2 linked regions of the Rattus norvegicus genome follow. The protein of the gene in region 1 purifies or fractionates together with the protein of each later gene. This does not show direct contact. Links are inferred from orthologs where the notes say so. Each region holds a gene or a part of one and is shown in the gene's direction. Other genes may lie near its edges.

Region 1 (4,520 bases):
TTGCTTCATGCTCTTTGAAGCCATGACTAGGCCCATGAACATTTCTATTTTCCTGCTAGGTCATGTGGTTATTACTTTAAAAAAAATTTAAAGTTCATTTTGTGTGTGTGAGCAAACATGTGGAGGTCAGGGGACCAACTGAGGTAGCTGCTTTTCTCCTACAGTACGGTTCCTGAGGAACTCAAGTCATCAGGCTTGGTGACAACAGCCGCCAACTGCCGTCAAGACCATGTTCCTATCCAAACGCCTGTCTGGAGCAGCTATTTAACTTTCTAAGTGTTTTCATCTACCAGCTGACATTTCACCTCAAATAGCCACACTGACTAGCAAACCACTCTAGCTTTTCCTGACTCAATCAAAAGATTGTCAATACATCTGCAGTTAGATGTGGGGGTGTTCAGTTCAGAAAGCCATGCTAAGACTTCTTGCTGGGATCACTCCTATTACCAAAGGAGGTGTGCTAGGACCCAGTCAACAAAACAGAGTCTACAGAGACGTCGGATGGAGATCTGGTTATGTGGCTGATGGAAACAAAAGTGGAACACCTGAAGGTTTGCTCTTGCTCCCGGGGTGGAGGAAACACCAGGAAAGCCTGACGTTAGTCATATGGCCTTATTCTAGACCTTCTGATTGGGGCATCACCTGTGTGGGTGATACAAAGTAGGTTGCAGCGAGGAAGAATGGGCTGAGAGCAGAGGCGTTGAATCTCAGCTTGTTAAGAGTCATAGTCAGATTCCAGGCTGAAGCCGGAAGTCCCCTCTTGCAGTTTTCCATCGTTGGCTTCAACAGGCTGAGCCCCCACTAGGTACCATTTGTCCAAGGAGTGCGTTAGCATTCTGTATATCATAGAGCGGACAGGGAAGGGTGGCTAAGCGGTCTGCGAACAAAAGAAGGATAAGGGCATGCTCTCCATTAAACTCCCGGTGAGTTCCGCTGCCATCATAGTCCTGAGTCAGTGGCCAAGAAAGGAGCTTTCATTTGCCGACCACTGAGCACCCCGGCAGGGGCGGCGGAGCTAGGTTCCCAAGCGAAGAGGACTCTCTTCTTTCTGCGTTCCAGACACCATGGATCTTCTCCTGTCTGCGTCCGATTTTTCCATTGCAGCACAGCTCCGCGAGCATCTCCATCAAGCATCTCCATCTCAGAACTCCCCATTTCCAGGACTACCTGCTGGTGACGTCAAGGTGCTGAGGTTCCAGACCCCAGATAACTCACTTGTGAGAGCCTTGCGTAGCAGCTTAGCTCTTGTCACTGTCCTGGGGCTCAAGCGCGCTCGGACTCGGCATCCAGATGTAACTCCAACCAGTGCTGTTCACAAGAGGCGCCCAGACCGCAAGCTGCGGAAGCGCACTGCAGTCCCGGGAACTAGTTACCGCGAGCGTCGCCCAGCAACCGCTCCGGCGTTGCGGTGACCCTTCCGGCGCGGAGAAGCTGCGAGCGCAGTCGCAGAGGAGACGCATGCGCGCCTCGCGCGGGAAGCGGTGCATTATGGGAGGCGCGCGCTTTTGCCGCTTCCGCGAATATGGCGGCGCCGTAGTCAGGGCGCGAGATCCTGGGGTACGGGGAGGCTGCAGTGCGCAGTCCGGGAGCGGTAATGGCGACACCGGATCAGAAGTCGCCCAATGTTCTGCTGCAGAACCTGTGCTGCCGGATCCTAGGCCGGAGCGAAGGTACGTGCAGCCGGGCCGAGGACTGTGGAGGCTGAGCGCCATGACCCCCGCCGGCCGGGTGCTGTTCCCCCGGGCCCCCTGGAAGGAAAGGGGTGCGGCTCGCGGACTGTCCCTGCCCTGAGGGGCAGGGCGGGAGCTGCTCTAGCACCAGGGTTTGGTTTTTGCTCCCGGGTCCAGAGAACAGCGTGGCTTGCAGCTCTGCTTCTGCGTGCTTCCCATTCTGCTGTCACCTTTGCCTCTGGTGATGTCCAGGTTGGATGGTGCTAGCTTATTCCTGCAGAGTTCAAGTAGCGAATAGTGCTTCTAAGAAGCCAGACCCCAAGTCAGTTCTGCTTACTTTATCCGTATTGTTGCCGCGGTAGTTGGGGGAAAAAATGTCAAGGATCTGGTTTCTTGAAGCTCATTTTGGAGTTGAATGGGGACGCGTAATGAGAAAAGGCTTTAGTAATTGACGTGACTGGGTTACAAGTTCCTTACACGTTAGAGACAAATTGCTCCGGTTTTCAAGGAAGACTTTAAACAGAATTGCATTTTAAAAACTCAGGGAGCCTTTTGATCTTTCGTAATTTGCAACAACTTGTCGGGGTAGAGGATGAATTACTCTGTCACCACTAAACCGTTGACTTAGCACAGTTCTTGCTTTATACTTTGTAGTGTTTCACTGTGCAGTTTATTCCTGTAAGAAATCTTTGAGTCTCCCTCGCTCCTATTATGCCATAAGAAATGCTCCTATCTAATGGAGGGAATGTGACTAGTGCGTTGGTGAACACAGTGTAAGAGATAAAGCGCTGGGGGTGGGTGGATAGGAGGAGCTTAGAGGGAAAGGAAGTCTTTTGGGGGAAAGTAAGTAAGATGGGGAATTTAAGCCCCTATTCCAGCGACTGGTAAGAGTGAGTGAGGGTCGTTCCAGCATCTGGGGAGAGTGTGAGTGGAGAGGACAGTTTACTTTTCTGATGGAAGTGACCCAGTCTTAGGCGAAATCAGATAGCTAAGGTATGAGTTAACACACCATACTGTCATTTTTCCTTTATTGCACTGGGTCCAGAATTTTTACCTTCCAGAAAGAACCTTGCGGTTATAACTGGATTTTGAAGTTATTCAGTATGAATTTCTAAATTTGAATTTTACATTAAGATCCCTTTTGATAGAAGCGTCACAGCCTACACGTGATTGAAATGCCACTTTGAAATTTGGCATCCTCCCGTTCTCCCACTCCCATTTGTGATCATGTCTTGTGAATCACTGGTCTTTCAGAGAGATCCAGGATAAAATATTCCATAAAACTCATTAAGGATGATGCTGCCTTGGCTGTTGATGGGGTTGAGAGACACAGAGTCCTCCGGATTCTCAGTCCTCACACACTTTGTTGCCATTTTGTTCTGACAGGTGTGTAGCAATAGCTTGTTTTCATCTCTTCCCTGATGCTGCCCAGCGTCTTTTCATGACTTCTTGTTTGGCCGTTCAGTTCTCCCTACGGTTGTATTTTGTCTCTTTTTTTCATAACTTATGTTGTTGCTAGATTGCCTACCCTTAAAATTTTTAATGTTCTTTGTTTATATGGGTCCAAGTCCTTTGTTTTCTGTTTTGAAAACTTTTTTTCCCTTCCAGTATTTTAACTCTTAACAGTTTTTTTTTCTTTGCAGAGTAAACTTTTTAAAAGGCTTTTTTTCATGTAGAGATTTTTGAAAAGGGTATTTTACTTGTACATCTGTCTGTACACCTTGTCTGCAGAGGTCAGAAGAGGGTGCAGGATCTCCTGGAACCCAGTTGCAGATGATTGTGAGCTGCCCCGTGCTGGGAATTGGATGCTACTCTTTTGGAAGAGCAATAGTGTTCTTAACTGTGGAGCCCTCTCTCTAGCCCTAAAATCGTGATGAATCCCAGTTTATCCACATTGAAAGGGGAGGGGGCAGGGCGATGGCTCAGCAGGTAAGAGCACTTGCTCTCCAGGCTATAGAACCCATGGAAGAGCTTTGCATGGTCGAGTGCATTTGTAATAACAGCATCCTAAGGAAGTGTGGGAGATGGACAGGAGAGCATTAAGAACCAGCTAGCCTGGAGTTGCTGCTCCAATGATAAAAACAGCAGGAGAGGCCGCTTTCTCCACAAGGAGGGAGGCAAGAATAGATCCCCAAAAGCAATCCTTTGAGTTTTACTCTGCCCCCCAACTCCTTCCCCGGAAGAGGAAAAAAAACACTTAAAATGATTATGATTTGGGTGTTGCATGAAGAACTCCACAAAGTCATGAAGATTTCTCTCTTTTCATCTTTTTCCCTAGGAGAGGCTATATTCTCTTGTCATGTGTGATATGAGGAGGCTATATTCTCTTGTCATGTGTGATATGAGGAGGCTATATTCTATTGTCTTGTGTGATATGAGGAGGTTATAGTCTATTGTCATGTGCGATATGAGGAGGCTATATTCTCTTGTCATGTGTGATATGAGGAGGCTATATTCTATTGTCATGTGTGATATGAGGAGGCTATATTCTATTGTCATGTGTGATATGAGGAGGCTATATTCTCTTGTCATGTGTGATATGAGGAGGTTATATTTTATTGTCATGTGTGATATGAGGAGGCTATATTCTATTGTCATGTGCGATATGAGGAGGTTATAGTCTATTGTCTTGTGCGATATGAGGAGGCTATATTCTATTGTGTTGTGCGATATGAGGAGGTTATAGTCTATTGTCATGTGCGATATGAGGAGGTTATAGTCTATTGTCTTGTGCGATATGAGGAGGCTATAGTCTATTGTCATGTGTGATATGAGGAGGTTATATTTTATTGTCATGTGTGATATGAGGAGGCTATATTCTCTTGTCATGTGTGATATGAGGAGGCTATA
Region 2 (4,570 bases), on another chromosome or scaffold:
AAAAAGTAGACACCAAGGACAGAAACACAGCAGGTAAATTCCTGAACCATACATCAGAAAGGAACAGGGTGATTTTATACCAATTTGAAGTCACCTGACTTTGCCTCCTGGGTCATTTGTGTCGGACGTTTTGAATAGCATTCAAGAGTTGAGTGTCTTGAGGTAGTAAACCTTATGGGGCTGGCAGCTGGGGGAGCCACAGGGAGCTGTTGGGATTTAGGTCACTGTATAAACCTATCATAAGGTTAATTTTAATGTATTTTATATATTTGGAAGTTTTGTCTGCATGGATGTGTGTGCACCACATATGTGCCTGGTGACCATGGAGATCAGGAGAGGGCGTTGTATCCCTTAGAACTGGAGTTATGGTGATTGTGTGCAACCATGTGGGAGTTCCTAAGGGAACCTGGGTTCTTTGCAAGAAGAACAAGTGTTCCTAACCACTGAGCAACCTCCCAGTCCTCTTTGAATTTTATATAATTTTTCACATTTATTTACTGTGTGTGTCCACGTGCATGCACATACAGGCTATGGTAGACATACAGAGATCAGAAGACAGCTTACAGGAGTCAGTTTTCTCCTGCAGTGAGTTCCAGGGATCAAACTCACAGTGTCAAGATTGGCTGGCTGCAGGTTACCATCTCTGTTGTTGTTAGTTTTGTTGTTGTTGTTGTTGTTTTGGGTTTTTTGTTTGTTTGTTTTTCTCCTTTTCTTCCTTCGAGGCAGGCTTTCTTTGCGTAGCTCTGACTAACCTAGAACTTACAACGCAAACCAGACTAGTTTCTAACTATCAAAGATCCACCTACCTCTGCCTCCCAGTTGAAGGTGTTTGCCACCACAGGTATTAAAGAAACCTCTTAAGATTTAAATTTTAAACGTATGTGCACTGCGTGTGTGCATGCATGAGCACACTTGGGTGTATGTGTGTGCCTACAAAGTCTGATCCCATGGAGTTCACTTAAAGCCTGTTCCAAGCCAACCAACATGGGTGCCAGGAATTGAACTCAGATCCCCCGAGAGAGTAGGCAATGCTCTTAACCAGCAAGCCACCCCTAGCTCCTAGCCCTGCTTCCTGTTTTCTATCTCGATTCCCATCCCTCAGGACCACTCTGTGGCCCACATACCTTCCCTCCGAGCATGCTCTGAGCACGGAAGGTTTGTGCAGTGAGCACAGCCAGCCTCCCCAGATCCAGGAAAGGATTGTGCAGCCCACATCCATGTTCACAGACACTGTGTGACCTGAGCCTCTGCTCCCCGGCCCATTTGCAGCATCTTCTCACCATCCACCGGGGTGCCTGCCTGGCCAGCCTGGACAAGTTGCCCCCCACTGTGCTTACCAGGCCAGCAAGGGGATATATCTGTTCCATCCCCTTCCAAGCTGCCCTCCCAGGGTGCCTGCCTGGCCAGCCTGGACATGTATCTGTTCAGCCGCAACATTGTTGTTTTATCAGCTCAGCACAGGGCACTTGGGTGCTTGCCATCCTCCCTGCAGAGCAGCAAGCAGAGGGCTATTAGCCTTGTCTGCAGCCAACCCCAGAGGCAGCCTCCGTCATGTGTTTTCTGGAAATCGAAACTAGACTAGGTTTATAAAGCATTTCCGGGGAAGAGGCTGAGGAAAACCACATGGTGGGGCCTTTCTCAGCTGAACAGTCTACAGAAAGCTTCGAGCTGCAGCCAGCAAGGAGGCTCCAGGACCATCTGCAGCAGCTGCCTGGACAGGTGACTGACTACCTGTCTCTTGCTCCCAGGTGAGTCCCCGCTCTACACAGCATAATTTCTGGGGGGGGGGGTCGCAGAACACAGGAACACCTAGACCTGCAGAGCCTCTAAACAGTTAGGCAGGATGTTCACTGAAAGAACAACTGAAGGGGTGAGTGGGGTACAGTTCATCCCTCGGCCTTCTCCTGGGTCTGTGGATTCTCACCCAGGACTAAACAGACCTACACAGTGGTACTGAATGAGCCAGCATAGGCAGGCACATCCCAAGTTCCCACACAAAGGAGTCAGGCAGAAACAGCCCCTGTCATCCAGTGGACAAAAATGTCCACATACCCTGCAATGTTCCCAAGGCCTAAAGTTCCTGACCCAGCATGGACAAACCCTATAACCACAGCTTATAGTAAATGGAGGGGGTGGGCACCCAGGGCACTTTGCCTGGGACTCAGGTTTCCCGGAACCCAGACCTCCTTGGGATAAGACTGGGTGCACAGCACTAAGGATCAAGCTTCCCACCCATCATCGAGTTATAGAGTTCAGCGGTCAGAGCCTATAGTGAGAATGCTCCCCTGGTAGCCAGACTCCGCCAGCCACACTGAGAAGAGTCCAGTGGCCTTCCCCCATTAACATCCCAGAGTCTATAGGGGATATTAACATGAGGTTTACATAGAGGAATGTATAGCTAACTGGTCTGCCCTATGCCTGGGCTGTAAATCCCAGACTGGGCTGATATTTCCTGGAGACAAGCTTCCCCTCCGGCTGTCACCAGGCAACAGCTTTCTCCTTTCAGCATGAGACTCCCAGGGGGAATTCCAGTTCTGTCCTTGCTTCAGTAGTACGATAACCGAAGGGAAGGGCACGAGTTTGTCTTAGACTATCTTCACCCTTGCCAAGATGGCTACAAGAGCCCTGGATCACTGAGGTCTTGCTCGTGCTGCTCTGGTACAGAATGTCTGGGGTGGAGGACAATCCTGGTGTTTCTACTGATCCTGGGATAACCTCTACTGCTGGTCTCTGGGCCCCTGGTCTGAGTAACAAAACAGTTTGAGATTCGTTGCTGAGTTCCTGCCCAGGAGACAGAGCTCTACAGCACCGTCCACTACCAGCCCCGACCTCACTGCCCTCGGGACTAGAATGAGTCTACCAGGGCTGCTGCACTTTGCTCTCTAGGTCAGCCCCCTTCATGCAGGGCCCGAGAGAAAGTGCCTGGGTGGGGCCCATTCTACAGACAGGCGAGAGAGTCTTAGTATTGAGTCCCTGTGTGTCAGCACCTTGGCAGTTGACCCTGACCCATCTCCCACTCATCCCCAGATCACGCCATGACCTCTGCAACTGTCTCTGTCACTTCCTCCTGAGAGTTCCCTGCTCCAACCTCATCCACAACACCCTCCCAGACTGGCATATCTTGTCCCTTTGGGGCACACCCCGAAGGGGGCTGCTGCCTGAAGATAAGACCAACCGTTGAGGGATAGCCTCTTGTCTATTTCCTGGGTTCTCGTTGCCAGGAGCCCTCAACCCACCTGCCTCATCTGGGGAGACTTACTGTCCTGAAGGTTGTCCCATAGAGCATGTGAGAGAGAGGCCTGCATAAGGGTCATCTCATGGCCATCTGGGCCTTACGGAAGAGGGACCACCCACAACACCATCCTGTCCTCCACAAACTTGACAGGGGACCATGGAACTACCAGTCTCCTCCGGAGAGCTGTGGCCAGTCTAACTTTGTTGTTCCTTCTGCTGCAGGTTGGGCTTCCAGGTCAGGCAATGGCTCTTCTGTGGCTCCTCTCTGTGTTCTTGCTGGTTCCAGGGACTCAAGGTGAGTCCTGCTCAGCGAAAGGTCCAAAACAGAAGTCAAGACCGTGCGCCTTGGTGCCTTGTTCTGTGTGGGTCACACACACACCCCCTCCCCATCTTTGCAGAAAAGCCAGGTGGCATCCTGTAAGACACCATGTCTTAGGATTCTCTGCCATGTGGATCCTCAGTCATTCTGAATGGTGGCCCTGTATGGGCCCTGCCCCCTCCCCGAAATGCAGGTGTTGGAGAAGAGACCAAGGAATCTTTTTTCACCTCATCAGTGGGCCAAGGAGGGAGAGTGCAGCCTGTGTTGTCCTGGAGTTTGAGCTCTCAGGTCACAGGCTAGAATGCCAGAGAGTCCCTGTGGAACAGTTTACAAACTGCACCATGGGTCTGAAAGCCTTGCCCATCCTGGACCCTCAGCTGAGTATCTCGCTCTAGCATGGGTGACCCCAATTCAAGCACCCAGCCGGCATGGACAGAGACGGGAGTCCCAGAGAGCAGGGAGCAGGACTCCCTTGGCTACCTGTGCCTGAGGGCAGACTGTCTCTAGTCCAGTGTTGTCCCCTCTAGGCAGACACTGTAGGGATGAGGTAGCAACTGTATGTGCGAGTTGGGATATCAGCGCTGTGCACCCCGCTCCTCTCTTACAATGGGACCCCACACCACAGCTCCCTCGTCCCCACACTTTGGAGGGAGCAGGCAGCATGGCAATGTCCTGTTGCTGAGTGGGGACAGTCCAGAGGCCATGAGACAGGTGGCACTGGGGTGTCAAGACATCACCCATCGTAAGCCGAGGTTAATCTGCTCTCTGCCTGTGTCTAGGAACCCAGGACCCACCTTCCCCTTCATACCAGCGTTTCAGAGAGCCAGGAAAGAGCCTCTCCCCCCCCCCCCAAGTTCACTCAGTAGGCTGAGAGCCAAGGTGTCCTCTTGGAGAAAAAGACCCAGAGATGAGAGCTAGATAGACCATGGCCTCTGTGGGCTCATCAGAGTTTTCACTCTTCTTCAGTGGGTAACTTTTTTTTTTTTTTTTTGGTTCTTTTTTTTCGGAGCTGGGGAC

The links.
Region 2: the proteins of Tubgcp3 (region 1) and Lgals3bp purify together in Homo sapiens (affinity purification with mass spectrometry; 4 studies listed by BioGRID and IntAct, counting the BioPlex papers as one, with this or other methods). This does not show direct contact. The link is inferred for Rattus norvegicus from reciprocal best matches to the Homo sapiens genes TUBGCP3 and LGALS3BP.

What each region holds. Positions count from the first base shown.
Region 1 is NC_086034.1:83,552,462-83,556,981, forward strand, and holds the start of Tubgcp3 (gamma-tubulin complex component 3), read left to right. Parts: upstream 1-1,523; 5' UTR 1,524-1,594; coding exon 1,595-1,670; intron 1,671-4,520. UniProt on the Homo sapiens protein: Component of the gamma-tubulin ring complex (gTuRC) which mediates microtubule nucleation.
Region 2 is NC_086028.1:104,124,892-104,129,461, reverse strand, and holds the start of Lgals3bp (galectin-3-binding protein precursor), read left to right. Parts: upstream 1-1,613; 5' UTR 1,614-1,748; intron 1,749-3,456; 5' UTR 3,457-3,477; coding exon 3,478-3,529; intron 3,530-4,570.